2 linked regions of the Lytechinus pictus genome follow. The protein of the gene in region 1 purifies or fractionates together with the protein of each later gene. This does not show direct contact. Links are inferred from orthologs where the notes say so. Each region holds a gene or a part of one and is shown on either strand. Other genes may lie near its edges.

Region 1 (7,561 bases):
AATACACTAACAGAAACAGGTAGACTTTAGGTGCACATGCCAGAACAAACTACTTTCCATTAAAAAAATACATTAAAGGACAAGTCCACCCCAACTAAAAGTTGATTTGAATAAAATAAGAAAATCAAACAAGCATAACACTGAAAATTTCATCAAAATCGGATGTAAATAAGAAAGTTATGACAATTTTAAAGTTTCGCTTAATTTCACAAAACAGTTATATGCTCATCCTGGTCGGTAAGCAAATGAGGAGACTGATGACGTCATCCACTCACAATTTCTTTTGTATTTTATTATATGAAATATGAAGTATTCTAATTTTCTTCTCATTGTCAAGCGAAACAATGATGAATTCCTCCATGAACATGTGGAATTAGCATTGTTTAATACTCTATGGTTCATTCAAGTTAGTCCTTATTGTCGAATCTGTAAAAAATGAAATATTGTACAATTCAAACAATAGAAAACAAAAAGAAATAGTGAGTGAGGGACATCATCAGCCGTCTCATTTGCATGTCACTGAGTTGTGCATATCTCTGTTTTGTGAAAAATAAGCGAAACTTTAAAATCTCATAACTTTCTTATTTTACAATGGATTTTGATGAAATTTTCAGCATCATGCTAGTTTGATTTTTCTCTATTTATTCAAATCAACATTTTTCTGGGGTGGACTTGACCTTTAAGGGCAAAAAGGCAAGAGATGGGGTTTATACATGCTACAAAGGAGAATGGCCCAATGAAGTAAAATGTCCCAATACTGGATCTAGATACTACAGATATATTTTCTATTGTTCTCATGAATAGTAACTGATTTTTGTCAGACATACTGTGCATAAAGTGGATATGTAATTCAACAATGTTAATAATCAACTTGCAGGCAAGGAGAAAATATAGGAGAAAAGTTTTGGCCAGCCTAAATTCGATGTCATGGACAAGCTTTTGGCTGGCTAAAAATCTTGATGTTAATGGGGATGGGTATCTGCTCAAAAACAAAGCACAGTAAACTACACTAGAAGGAAAACCTTTGAAACAAAATTAGATTTATATCACAGTGCTTCACAAAAGAGAGATGTGACATGTTTTAGGAGGAATCCCACGAACAGACTTTCACAGTGGCTTTGACTTTGTTAAAATAAGAAAAGATGCTATTAAATGGATCCATGCTGTAATATGCCATTCAAACCTTTGTTAATTGATGTGTACCTTTTTCTGTTTAGGTTTGATCCGAGCTGATGTGTATTCAAAGTCATCATAGGACATGTGATTGGGACGAACTGGATACTGAATGCAAAGATAAAAAAAGACCAACGTAAAATGCTACAGTCATAGAAATAGGAAAATGCAATATATAACAAAATCATTGTAAGAAAACAGCAAAAGAGAAATGAGAGGGTGAATGTATAAAAGAAATTGAACAAAGTATAAGGGGATGTTATGTTAACTCAATTTATTTAAACCTCAGTAGGCATGTTCAGATGCCATCTTGCACTCTCCCCCATCTGTCTAATGAAAACAAGTGGAGTGCCTCTGGCAGTCTCGCCTGCATTACGCGATTTGATATAGCAGCAGTGCTGACTTTGAAAACAGCTATTGAATAATTATTCACAAAAGAAACATTCGTATGATAATAAAAAAGGGACAGTGAGTTATCGTTTCAGAAAATCTTATATTCCATTTCAGCATGTCTGAAAACAGAAATTCCGTTTCCCCATAGACTTTGTGTACATGTACATGAAACTGTGACAATTCCGTTTACATAGAAAATCAATACGCAATTTGTATCGATGTCAAAATGCTCGCACTGGTCAAAATTTGTATCTGCCACTGTACTAACAATGCTTTAAAATCGATTTTAATCGAAGATATTTGAGCACAGATCCATAAACTTTCAAAGTTATGATGAATATCAACAAATACCCCCAACATGGCCAAAGTTCACTGATCCTAAATGAACTTTGACCTTGGTCATTTGACCTGAATCTTTGGCATGGTGTTCAGTAATACTTGATTACTCTTATGTCCAAGTATCATGAACTAGGCGCATAACCTTCGGTTAAGATTTTGATATTGATTCCCCCAACATGGTCCAAGTTCATTGACCCTATATGACCTTTGACCTTGGTCATGTGACATCAAACTCTGGCAGGATGTTGAGTAATACTTGATAACCAATATATCCAAGTTTCATGAACTAGGCCCATATACTTTTTTTTATTTATGAATGATGACATTTCAAAAACTTAACCTTCAGTGATTGACGATCCTGATGCTGGGGGTTGAAGTACCCTCAAGGTTTATGGGGGGGGGGGGGGGGGAGGGGTCCGTCGTGCATGTGTCATTTAGCATAGTCGTCTCGCTCTGCTTTGTTGCACACAATGAAAGGATTTGAATAAATCACAAGCTCTCCCATTAATACATGTAATGCAAATCCCTTAATTGGGTTTACAATTCTTTTTTTTTTAATAAGAAGGAACATACATGTATTCAATGCTGATCATACAAGGTGGCTCATGAATCACAAGTCTCACTTGATTTCACAATCAATAAAATATGCACTATGATCTTTTGACCCCTCGATGACCCTTGACCAGTCATCCTTAAGGACACACATGTGGTATTACACAACAATTGTATGTGTACCAAGTGTGAACATAATTGATGAAGAAATGAAGAGCAAGTTGGACAAATTGACCTTTTGACCCCTAGATGACCCTTGACCCCATCATCCTCAAGGACATGCACACATGGAATTACCCTAGGATTATTTGAGCCAAGTATAATAATCAAGATTGATGAAGAAATAAAGAATTGTTGATGCTAAAAGCAATGAGTCTTGATCTGCTATGCAGGTGAGACAAAAATAAAATCAATATGAATAAAAATGTCAACATGAAATATGGGAATTTAGGAAGAATGATGTTGTTTCGTTTAGACATATTTATCAGCAGCTTGATTTTTCATAAAACCATTTCTCACCTGAAAACAATACAAATTTTCAGCCAACTCCTTTGAGAGGTAAACATCGACCTGAAATGAGAAAAACAAAAATAATACAGAATAAAATGAAAGTGTGTTTCATGTATTTTTCATCTTTAGCAATGTCAGTATCCATAGGGCACCTTACATGTAGTTGTTAATTCTCATTTTTTCTAGCATTTTCTCCAACTACCATTTCTTTGTTTTCTTTTCAATAGAAACTAATGCTCTTTCCAATAACCAATTTACAATTGTTTAGTTTTTCACTAAATTTATCTGAAAATCGGTAATTCAGTACATCAATGTTCCCCAAAACTCTTTAAGATTTGATAGCTTTAGTTGAAAGTAAGTTCCAGTCACAGACCACTCATCCAATGTTGGAGGTTAGATACAGAGTTAGATAAAAATGTCCCATCAGTTTGAAGCTGTCTTGTCTAAAGTATAGGTTCCATGACACTTGCTCTGGCGACGAGTCTTGCCTGATTTCGCGATTAATAAAAGATGCAATATTTTCTTTCTTTCTTCCTTCCTTTCTTAATTCTTACACTCTAAATTCCAAGGACTTAAAAGAACTCCAGATTGGCTGTGAATAGTGACTTTCATTTTTTTAAGTCATTGCCACTTCTTATTTAATTCACCCGTCTTCCTCTTCTTGTTTTCCTATTTTTTATTCTCTTCTGTTTTTCCTTTTTTTTCTTTCCCCCTTTTCTTTTTGCTCCGCCAATGGGGGGGCTCGGATCTGCCTATGGGTATATAGTCACATTATATTAAGTAAAAGGGTTGGAAGCAGAGGAACATAACATAGGGGAGATTGGGGTTAATTTATGCAATACTGCCCTCAATTTATTGCCATTATCAACAGCCATCCACCATATTACAGACAACACTGTACAATAAGCCTGGTAAAGTTAGAAAGGAATTTTCGTTTTTTCAACTGAGTATTTTTTTTCTCTGTCAGAAATGTTTTATTATCTCAGAGAAGTTTATAGATCAAGTTGGCCAGTTTGGGGGTATAATAGACACTTGCACCAAGCTACAAAATAAGGTTATTAATATGCCATGGTGAAGTTCCTTTTTTGTGCTGTAAGCTTACAAATGCTACATAGGCCCAGGGTGCTACATAAGCACTTGCCCAATTGCCCGGGGCAAGTAAAAGTTAGAGTCAGGCAAGTTTTTTAAGTAAAGACCAAGACTACTTGCCCAAATTGGGCAAGCAAAATGCTTACAGTAGAATGACCAAAATTAGGGTCTATATGATTTTGGTCATGGCAGGCAAGATAAAATCACTTTGGAAAAAGAAATGCAATAAGAAAGTAGATCAGTTCATGTCAAAACAGAGAAAAAAGGTCAATGGTTTATAAAACCTCAAAACTTTCTTTTGGAGAAAAAAAACACAAAATTTCAAAGATTTTTTCAGGCGAGTGAAATAGATTTTTGGGCAAGTATATTCCAACTATTCATAAATTTACTTGCCCGACTGGGCAAGTACTTTTAAAAAGTTATGTAGCAACCTGCATGGGCCTCTGGGGCTAGTTGAAACAAAATTGAAGGGGCTATTTATAACATGTTCCAAGTTACCCCAAACATAAATGAATAAAACACTGGATTTGAGAAAATAATGTATACAATATTTCACACTCTTTTGAATATGTATTGTAAACCATGCTTGTTTTGAGTGTGCATTTAAGGACTACTATGGGCCCCTTATGCAATATTAACCCTTATTAACCCTTAACCCTCAATTTGAGTCCCCCCACTCGATAAATTTGTCACTTCACCGTCGCGCGAAATTTTCTAACTGCACCGCTCACTGACTTTTTACTTTCAAGTCTTGTGCATCATTTGAGACCAAATTTGCGATGCCCGGGTGAGTGATTTCAAAATCATGCAACATTTTGTACGTGCATGTCGGACCCAAAATTGCTCGAATGTACAAGGTCAATGCAAATTGTGTTTTTCGAACGAAAATCATGAATATATGATTATTTTAAAATTTGCTCGCTCAAATGGATTTATTAATATGCAAAAGGGTCCCCAACAAAGTTCATCAGAAAAAAAGGAAAAAGAATATAAAAAAAGGTTCGAAAAAACAAAGAAATACAAAGACAAGAGTGTCGCTAAGGCAAGCACATTATACGCCCGCCTGTAATGCAGAAAAATGGAGTTAATGGTCAAGCAAGAAAAGTGGAAGGTGGCAACTTTACCTCTGACCTCAAAATCGATAGGCTTCCTGGGATCCATGCTAGTATCATACACACCAAATTATATGAGCCTAGATTAAGTTAAACTAAAGTTATCGCGTTTACAAGGATTTCAGAAGGGTAAGATGAAAACATGTCAATGTGACCTTGACCTTTGACCACTTGACCTCAAAATCAATAGGCTTCCTGGGATCTATGCTAGTATCATACACACCAAATTATAGGAGCCTAGATTAAGTTAAACTAAAGTTATCGCGTTTACAAGGACTTCAGAAGGGTAAGATGAAAACATGTCAATGTGATCTTGACCTTTGACCTCCAAATCAATAGGCTCCTGGGATCCATGCTAGTATCATACACACCAAATTATAGGAGCCTAGATTAAGTTAAACTAAAGTTATCGCATTTACAAGGACTGCAGAAGGGCAAGATGAAAACATGTCAGTGTGATTTTGACCTTTGACCATTTGACCTTAAAATCAATAGGCTTCCTGGGATCCATGCTAGTATCATACACACCAAATTATAGGAGCCAAGATTAAGTTAAACTGAAGTTATCGCATTTACAAGGACTGCAGAAGGGTAAGATGAAAATATGTCACTGTAACCTTGACCTTTTGACCCCAAAAGTAAAAAGGCTTCCTGGGATCCATGCTGGTATCATACATATACCAAATTATATGAGCCTAGGGTAAGTTAAACTGAAGTTATCGTGTTTACAAGGAAAAGTTAACGGATGGACGAACAGACACCGAGCGTGATACGTCCCGTCAGGATGGGCGTATAAAAAACAAAAAATACATAAGAAATTATACTTTTTGCAATTTTTTCGTAGGTATTTGTTACAAATGTAAAAATTGATGCTCTCACCAAAAATTAGCATTCTACTAGCTAAATAGATTAAGTTAAAGGCAAAAACATACACCAAAATTTTTTTTTTTTAAAGGGCAAATTTCATGTTTATTTGCATAATTAATTAATTAAAAAATATAAACAATTTATCTTTGTCATGTAAATTTGATGCAGAAGTACATTAAATTGATGATACACTTAATTGCATGTAAAATCAAACACTCATAAATATGCAGAATTCTACTACACAGTCGGCTTGCATGAGTGGCTGTATAATATAGAAAATATAAAGTTCAACATATCAGAATACACCTTTAATATTTTGAACTTGAAAAAATAAAGCAAATAGGCTAAAACTAAAATATCACAGTTGTAAGTAGTTTAAGTATAATTTTTAATTGACCATGCAGTGTTCCAACTTACCCCATACCTCGTTCCAACTTACCCCGTATATGGGGTAAGTTGGAAAGCTTGCGATGGTCTTGTTCAAGGTGGATTGTTTTTCAGTAACCATCATAGAGTTTTAAAGTTTCATGGGGTACGTTTGAAGCCCTTAGATATATGCTTTAAGCTGACATATTGTTTCTCAAATCTATTTGGATTTTACAGCCATTTTTGTCAAAAATATTCTCAAATAAACCCCAATATCCCCTACCAACGCTTATATACTAACTTTTTCATGGATACGATGAACCTTCGAGAGAGCTTGTCATCTATCTGTATATATCTAACCAATGTAATTAAATTGTATACTGTCTTTTGGGTCATTGTCAAGTGTTAAGAAAAATCCATTTGAGATCGATAATTAGGGAGTGGGCCTATATTGGAATATCATTATTAGGTTTACCTCGGGCGAAGTTCGTGCAGGCTCCACTCCACTTCCGCTACACTACGCTCCAAATACCCGAACTTCGTGACGGTGAACTCGATCGGATATTCGGTGTCACAAAGGTGGGATGGAAATCATGTTTATTGTAAAAATTAAAGAAAAACAATATAACAAGAAAGATAAATAACTTAATATCTTACTCTACACCCGTATTTCACTCCGTGTCCATCCTCCGGTTATCCTCAAAATTGGTGATTTTGGGCCAGTATCAATTTCCTCACACATATTACTCACGGCCGATTTCAAAACATCGCATGCGATCGGCGCGACCGATCGCATGCGATGTTTTGAAATTGGCCGTGAGTACGCGTACGCATGCGAGGTTTTGAAATCGGTCGTAATATGTGTGAGGAAACGGAAAAAATATAATTTTTTTTTTTCGGGGGCTCCATTTTCAATTTTTTGTAAAATTTCGGGGCTCCATTTCTTTCTTTCGGGGGCTACTTTTTCATTTCAGGGCCTCTTTTCAAATGCTACGTTTTTGTATTTTGAGGAATAACTGTTTACTTTATTATTTAGAATTATTACTTATTGTTTAATATTGTATGATTTTTTTAAGGTATTTTTTTCATGCTTAGAATCTTGGATGTGTTTGTGTGGGTGTGACTGTGAGTTGAACTTGGATATAAATGAATTCAATATC
Region 2 (7,099 bases), on another chromosome or scaffold:
AGGGGCCAAAACGTGTAAATAAACTTGTTTAAAGGGTTATTTTGCACACAGAGAAAAACTCGTTTAGGGGTTGTTTGGAAGTAAAGTTCTTTCGTCTACCACCATGACTACAGCCAACATAAACACTGCAATTGCATGGATGCAGCGGTGGTCATACTTTTGACTGCGATTGTGATGTTTTTGAATAGGCAGTGAATTTGTAGCGTGATTTGGAACTACCCCTAATCGACCATCTAATTTTATAAGAATCGTATCTGCATAAGTATTTATAAGTTTTACCTAGTTTTTGTCTTGCGATGACTGCGTTTCTATGCGCATAAATATCAGCGAACAACAAATACGACAATTTCACATTTGCAACCTTCTTTTGAAACCAACCACCTGCTATACACTGACATTACGGCCGATTCTCATCGCGGTGGCGAAATATTTTAACTCTTCCAAATCAGTTCTATGATGTCACCATGCTAAATGATTGTCTCATTACTTCCACTGCAAGCTCCGGCACATGATTCAACGATTGACGATGGATATTTTCAAATTTTTGAAAATTTCAGTTTTTTTCGTAGAAAACTACATTTCTTTTTGTTTGTTTAAACCTCCTTTGGTATTTGAGCCATGGTTGAAGCTTTTTTATTGTTTAAAGCATTGATTTGCGAAGCTGTGACTTATTGGGAAAAAGTTGCAAGTTTATTTGAATTATTTCTTTTAGTACAAAAATCCTGGAGTTGTACATTGTACAAATTTCAATGGAAGTGATTTAAATCAATGATTAAAAAAAATTAGTGAAAGTGGAGTAGGGGGTAGACAGCTGGCAGCCATCTGTTTCGAGGAGTTTTTTAACATTTATTTATTTTTTTAATTTCTCCTCGTACACAGACGGCTCGCTATCGTGCAGCCACCATTAGGGGACTTACAATGCAAAATCCCCCCGTCGGGGCTCTTCAATTTTTGTCTTTAATGAATCAAACTTTTGAAAATTAACGCGACCGAAATGCAAATTAAAATTCCCTCTTGGCACTAATTGCCAAAAAACGGGGGAAAAATCAAGTTAAAAGGAATGAAAACAGTGATTTACCTCGGCTGTCGCGCAACTGCACTTCCGTTTTATCAAAACTTAATACATAAACATATGGCCATTGAGTCCCCTGTAGAGATCGCGCTAGAACTTCGGTCTCTGTATTTGGTGAGTGAAGCCAACGGAGTTCAGCTGAACAACCAACATAATAGAGAGACCGAAGCTTTTGGTCTAAGACTAAGTAGGGGGCTAAGTGCATGTTAACCGCTTATTGAAGGATTTATTCATGCTTTGATGATATAAAGTTGATAAAATCTTTCTATTTTGAGTAAAAAAACATATAAAAACTGCCGCAAATAAAAATATTGTCAATCATTTGTACATCATATGTTTCAAAGGAAGTGATTTAAATCAATGATTAAAAAAAAAAATCATCTGTGGAGAAGGGCCGTTTTAGGCACCTATGGGTACATTACCGCCGCCGTCCACAGGATAACCACTTGCACGGCACTTGCAATGCCTTTCGGGCTATATATTTTAAATTAGCAATATATATGGATTTAAGATCAGATAAGCTTTGGATATGAAACTTACAAAACGATATGAAGCCAATTTCAATTCCTCTCTGTCTTTCTGGTACTTTATATCGATGATCTTTCTTGATGTCGAAGCAGGCATGGCCCCGATTCGCTGGTTCTCTCTATACGCACAGAGAGCGCGCGCAATATTATTTAATAAACTTGCTTGTTTACGTCGTTTACGTCAGATCAGCTGTACTGCTGGCTGCGTTCTAGGCGCTCCGCATTTTTTTCGCTGTTCAGCGTTATTTTATGATGTAGCACCATCAGCGATTATACGTGACATGCAACCTGTTGATTTTTGGTACAATTTCCTATTATGCGCCGGCGACTTGAATCTAGACTGTTCGATAGGAAAAATTCGCATATCGATCGTTGTTTGCATAATTTCCACCGCAGTATTAAGGATCGGATGGAGTAACTGGCTGAGATTTGGAGGTAAGCGTTTAAAATCCATTTCTATAGATAAGTTCGTGCTGATTTTTAAAATTAGATTACATTATAAATAATATAAGATTAAGATGACTAAATTTAGTAATAGTATATTGTGAAGATTTAGGCGTGTTTCATATTCTCACATTCGTGTGATGAACGAAAACGTCAAAATTCATTATGAAATGACATGCGTTGTGCGAGGTTAGTATACTAACCTCGCATGCTTGTGTGAGTGCGTTTTAGGGGCCTAAGACTAAGAGTAAGACTAAGTCTGAGACATGTTAATTGTTATTGTCATGATTGTTAAACCATAACATAATTTATAGGCTACCTTGCAAGATCAACCTGATTTTACTGACATGATTTCAATTTTTTTAGTAGATATGAAGCATTTATTTATGTTTTGATGATATAGAATTGATAAAATCTTTCTATTTTGAGGAAAAAAATAAAACTACCACAAATAAAAAAATGTCATTGTCAATCATTTGTAATTGTAATTGTAGTGTACCGTAGGCCTACATGTTTCCAGTGGAACTGGAAGTGATTTATATCAATGATTTAGAAAAAATCATAGAGATTAAAATCACGATTTCAATAATGATTTAAATCAACGTGATTTGAATCAGCCCATCCTGATGATGTTGAAATCTTGAGACATATTTTAGTCGGAATCGGAACGGCAACACCGTGCGCATTTTTGACCAACATAATTTGCAATGATGTGGGACTCACAGGAAAAAGCGGTGGCGGCTGAGCAGTGGGAGGTGGCAATGATTCTCCTCCTCTTCCTAATCCAAGGGCATCAGCAGCAAACGACGACCCTCGACCACGCCCGCGACCTCGACCTCTTCCAGCCATAATGAAGTAGCACTGGTTTGTTGTTTTAAAAGGAACTTAAACTTAAAACAATAAATAAGTTCTTCCTCTAACCCACTTGAAAGTATGGTGTCTTTAAAAATAAAATTGGTATTAACTTGAATTGAATTTAAATAAATGTGACTAGAGCTATAAGGGGATGGAAATATATATTTTGGCAATTTTATGAAATAATAAATAAAATCAGAATGATACGTTGAGATATTGCTTAATATTACACGTATGTGTGAAAATGAGCTATATGGACATGTTTGGTATAAATCTAGAACTACTCCCACCCCATCCGTGATCCTGATGATGATGATGATGGTGATGATGATGATGATGATGGCGATGATGACGATGATGATAATAATAATAATGATAATAATTATAATAAATGAATAGATAAATAAATAAAGATGATAACAATTTAATGATGATGAGGATAATAAGCAAACAAACATGTAAATGAATGGAATCGATGAATAGATAAAAATCCAATTGCTATACGTAGAGACAAGCTTAATTTTACTTTTATTTTATAGACAGGTATAATTGCCCCTTATTAATAAAAAAAAATCCCATTGCTATACGTAGACAAGCTTATAATTTGACTTTTATTTTATAGACTAGCTGCCCCGGCCTTTATTCCAAACCAATTAACTCCTTCTGTATATCCTTATAAAATTATTTCGGTACTTTTCTCTGCTGTGTGTATCGATTGTGAGGGTCTGTGAATAGTTCCAGTGTGTATACCGTCAAGCCAGTGGAGTGGCACCCTCCGGGTAAAAAAAAATGGAGCCTATATACACCCTACACCCGACAACACCCTAGCTCTCTTATTTCTCTCGTATACTGGTAACCTATAGCGTTCTGTGTCAGGCTTTTATTATTTCTGTGCTTTTGTTTTGTTTTTACTAGGGTTTTTACCTCCTGCGCTTAGTGTAGTACCTCATCCATACCAGACCCCTCTATATATATACATCATGATCCCGCCCTCTATCCTACTCCCTTCCTTTTTATAATAGCTTTCACCACTTTCACCACCACAAATATATTGCAGTACATGACAAAAAACTTATTTAAGGGAACAATCCCTTCAAACTGTTCATGTGACAACTCACTGTCGGTTGACGCGCAGCAGCTTTTTCAGTAAAAGAGTGATCCAATAATCTTGGAATAGTTTGCCTGCAACACTATGTCCTCCAGTATTAACTCATTTAAACACGGATTAGATTCTTTTTGGTCATGCATTACATTTGAAATTGTCTTACATCCACGCCCGCACTGTACTTAATTGTTAGACTTTTAATTATGCATCAAGCGTTTACGACCGGGAGATCTACAGGGCTATATACCTACCCTCCCGTACAGATGATGATGATGATTAAAGGGGTGTTTTTTAGTTTTGGACGCGGGCCGCGTGTACATGCACTCATTAAAAAAACACCGCGATAAAAAAAAAAAAAAAAAACGGTGGTTTATATGGTCACTGGTCAATCACAGGGTCAAACGTACAGGGTATGTTTTTTTTTATAAACTATATAGCCATACGTGTTTAGGGTACGTATTTTTGCCCCCAAGCTTTTTTGCGACAACAATACATGTATATAGGGGCCAAAATAACTTTGCCCGCGAAAAACTTGTTATGGTGATTATTTGCACACAGAAAAAAACTCATTTAGGAGGTGTTTGGAAATAATTTAGTTACCCATGTGTACAGCAGTACATTTCAGGGGCCGCGGAAAGGTTTTCAAAGTGGGGGGGGGGGGGCTGATGACCATGCAAAAAGTCCCATTATATCGAGGTTTTTTACCTGACTACTAAGAAAGCACGAATGCCTGTGAGCAAGCAACCAGGGGACCGACAGCTTAAGGTCCTCTCCGAGGGACATGGTAATGAGGATAAATTCCTTACCTTCTCAGTTCAAAACAATTTGGATTTGTATCAGGACGATCAACAATGTTACAATTACTCAATGTGTTAAATGATTGGACGAATATGTTGGAGGTTGGTGGTGCAGTTGATGTCATCTACCTAGATTTCATGAAAGCCTTTGATAAGGTCCCACGTACACCAGAGACTTTTAGCCAAAATTGAGGGATTTGGCATATCTATAGCTCATATGTAAGTGGGTCAGAGGTCTTTTCTTGTTGGTCGACAGCACCGAGTTTGTGTGAATGGTGTGTTCTCTGACTGGGCTGATGTAACCAGCGGAATACAGCAAGGGAGTGTCCTCGGACCCCTGCTTTTTGTAATGTACATTAATGATTTACCGGATCAGATTTCGTCAAGTACTGTTAGTTTATTTGCAGATGACACCAAGTTATACAAGCATGCATGTTAATAATGACAGAGATGCTGAGTTATTACAAGCGGACTTAGATCGTCTTGTGTCATGGTCAGACAAGTGGCTATTAAAGTTCCACCCGGATAAATGTTGTGTACTTACTATTGGTACAAAGAATGATGAATTCAATGAATATACTATGACACATGATAATGCTTCACATAATCTATCACAAGTTGAAACTAGTAAAGATTTAGGAGTGATTGTCGACACAAAGCTTAGTTTTGACCAGCACTTTCAGTCAAAGATAAATAAAGCCAATAGGCTTATGAATCTAATTAGGAGAACATTTGTTTATTATCTTCACAAGGAGAACCTCCTACTCCTATACAAAGCATTGATTAGACCTCACTTGGAGTATGCTCATGCAGTATGGAGTCCATACTTAAAGAAACATATTCAAGCAATAGAAAATGTACAAAGAAGGGCCACTAAGTTGGTACCTGAAGTAAAGAACCTTCCATATGAACAAAGATTGATTCAACTAAAACTTCCTACATTAGCATATCGCCGTGCGCGAGGAGATATGATCGAAACATACAAGTTATTTCACAGGTATGACCAAGAGGTAGTGCCAGATTTGGGCCAGGTGCATGGGCCTACCAGAGGTCATGATAAGAAATTGTACATTCCGAGGTCAGTAACTGAGAAACGTAAGAATTCTTTTTACATAAGAATGAGGAAACCTTGGAATAGCCTAAGTAATGAATTACTAATGCACCCAGTGTCCACAGCTTCGAGAATGGACTGGATAAGTATTGGAAATGTGAACCTGTGAAGTACAAGTTTGACGCTGACCCACCAGGACATGCCGGCCAACCTAAAGAGGAGACAGAATTTGGAACTGAATATAGAGTCTTAGACTGCGTTCAGAAGCATCCATAAGTATCCATATAAGTAAGTAAGTAAGTAAAGCCAAGGGCACTAGCACAATCATATGGTCGTCATTTTTACGTTTTTGTACACGGTTTTTGAAAAAAGAGGGGGGGGGGGGGCTGAAGCCCCCCAGCCCCCCGCTTCCGCGGCCCCTGTATTTTGACTGCCCCCGGGAGTTTTGCCAATGATTTACCGTATTCGGCGTTGGTAATCGACTATGAGATTTAAAAAAAAGATTTAAAAAATCATGTGATAGCAAAGACACCATACCCAGTGGCATTGCGTGAAGACTGAAGCTCTGTAAAATTTACTTTTTGCGTGAGTTATTGACGAGTCCTGATCACTGTACATCTATTTTTGTGTGGTAAGATAGCCGGATATGAACTAATTTGAGTAGTTCTTTTTAAATAATAAACCATATGGGAGTTTACTATAGGAAATTATTCACTCTTTCCATTCTATCCAGTTACTGCGAAGTTAACATCGCATCCCTCAAACAGCCGGTGATTTCGATCGTGTGCTATCCGAACACATGTATCAAGGAATCGTGATATCATCCATTTCTTTGTGTGCGTAATATATTGCACGTGTTGCCGATAGTTGTGGTGTCCCCTGTGCACTCATTCGAATGAGGTCTCGTGTTTTGAAGGATGTCGCCTGCGCCTGTTTGACATCTAATGTTAGACAGACTAGTAGTGTTGTAACCCGCACCCGTTGCGGTACGGGTTAACCTGCCGGTATGCACCCCATCGCGGATTGCGGGCCGGGCCGAGTTCATTCTCAAACCCGCAGACCGTCATACGAAAAAAAGGGAGAAGTAACGACGCATAATAAAAACATTAACAATGAAAATTGAATTAGGATCATGTGCTTCTTACGTAGCGGATTCTTTTAGAGACGTAGATATTTCCTTTTTTAAAAATGCCGGCGTATTTTTGTCCTGTGAACAGTGAACAGGACTGAGACAGTTCGACATAATAT

Evidence for each region.
Region 2: the proteins of DNA-directed RNA polymerase III subunit RPC5-like (region 1) and DNA-directed RNA polymerase III subunit RPC7-like purify together in Homo sapiens (co-immunoprecipitation; 5 studies listed by BioGRID and IntAct, counting the BioPlex papers as one, with this or other methods). This does not show direct contact. The link is inferred for Lytechinus pictus from reciprocal best matches to the Homo sapiens genes POLR3E and POLR3GL.

What each region holds. Positions count from the first base shown.
Region 1 is NC_087254.1:1,610,097-1,617,657, reverse strand, and holds the start of DNA-directed RNA polymerase III subunit RPC5-like, read right to left. Parts: upstream 3,024-7,561; 5' UTR 2,977-3,023; intron 1,282-2,976; 5' UTR 1,261-1,281; coding exon 1,204-1,260; intron 1-1,203. UniProt on the Homo sapiens protein: DNA-dependent RNA polymerase catalyzes the transcription of DNA into RNA using the four ribonucleoside triphosphates as substrates.
Region 2 is NC_087249.1:25,193,811-25,200,909, forward strand, and holds the start of DNA-directed RNA polymerase III subunit RPC7-like, read right to left. Parts: upstream 3,016-7,099; 5' UTR 2,893-3,015; coding exon 2,767-2,892; intron 1-2,766. UniProt on the Homo sapiens protein: DNA-dependent RNA polymerase catalyzes the transcription of DNA into RNA using the four ribonucleoside triphosphates as substrates. Specific peripheric component of RNA polymerase III which synthesizes small RNAs, such as 5S rRNA and tRNAs.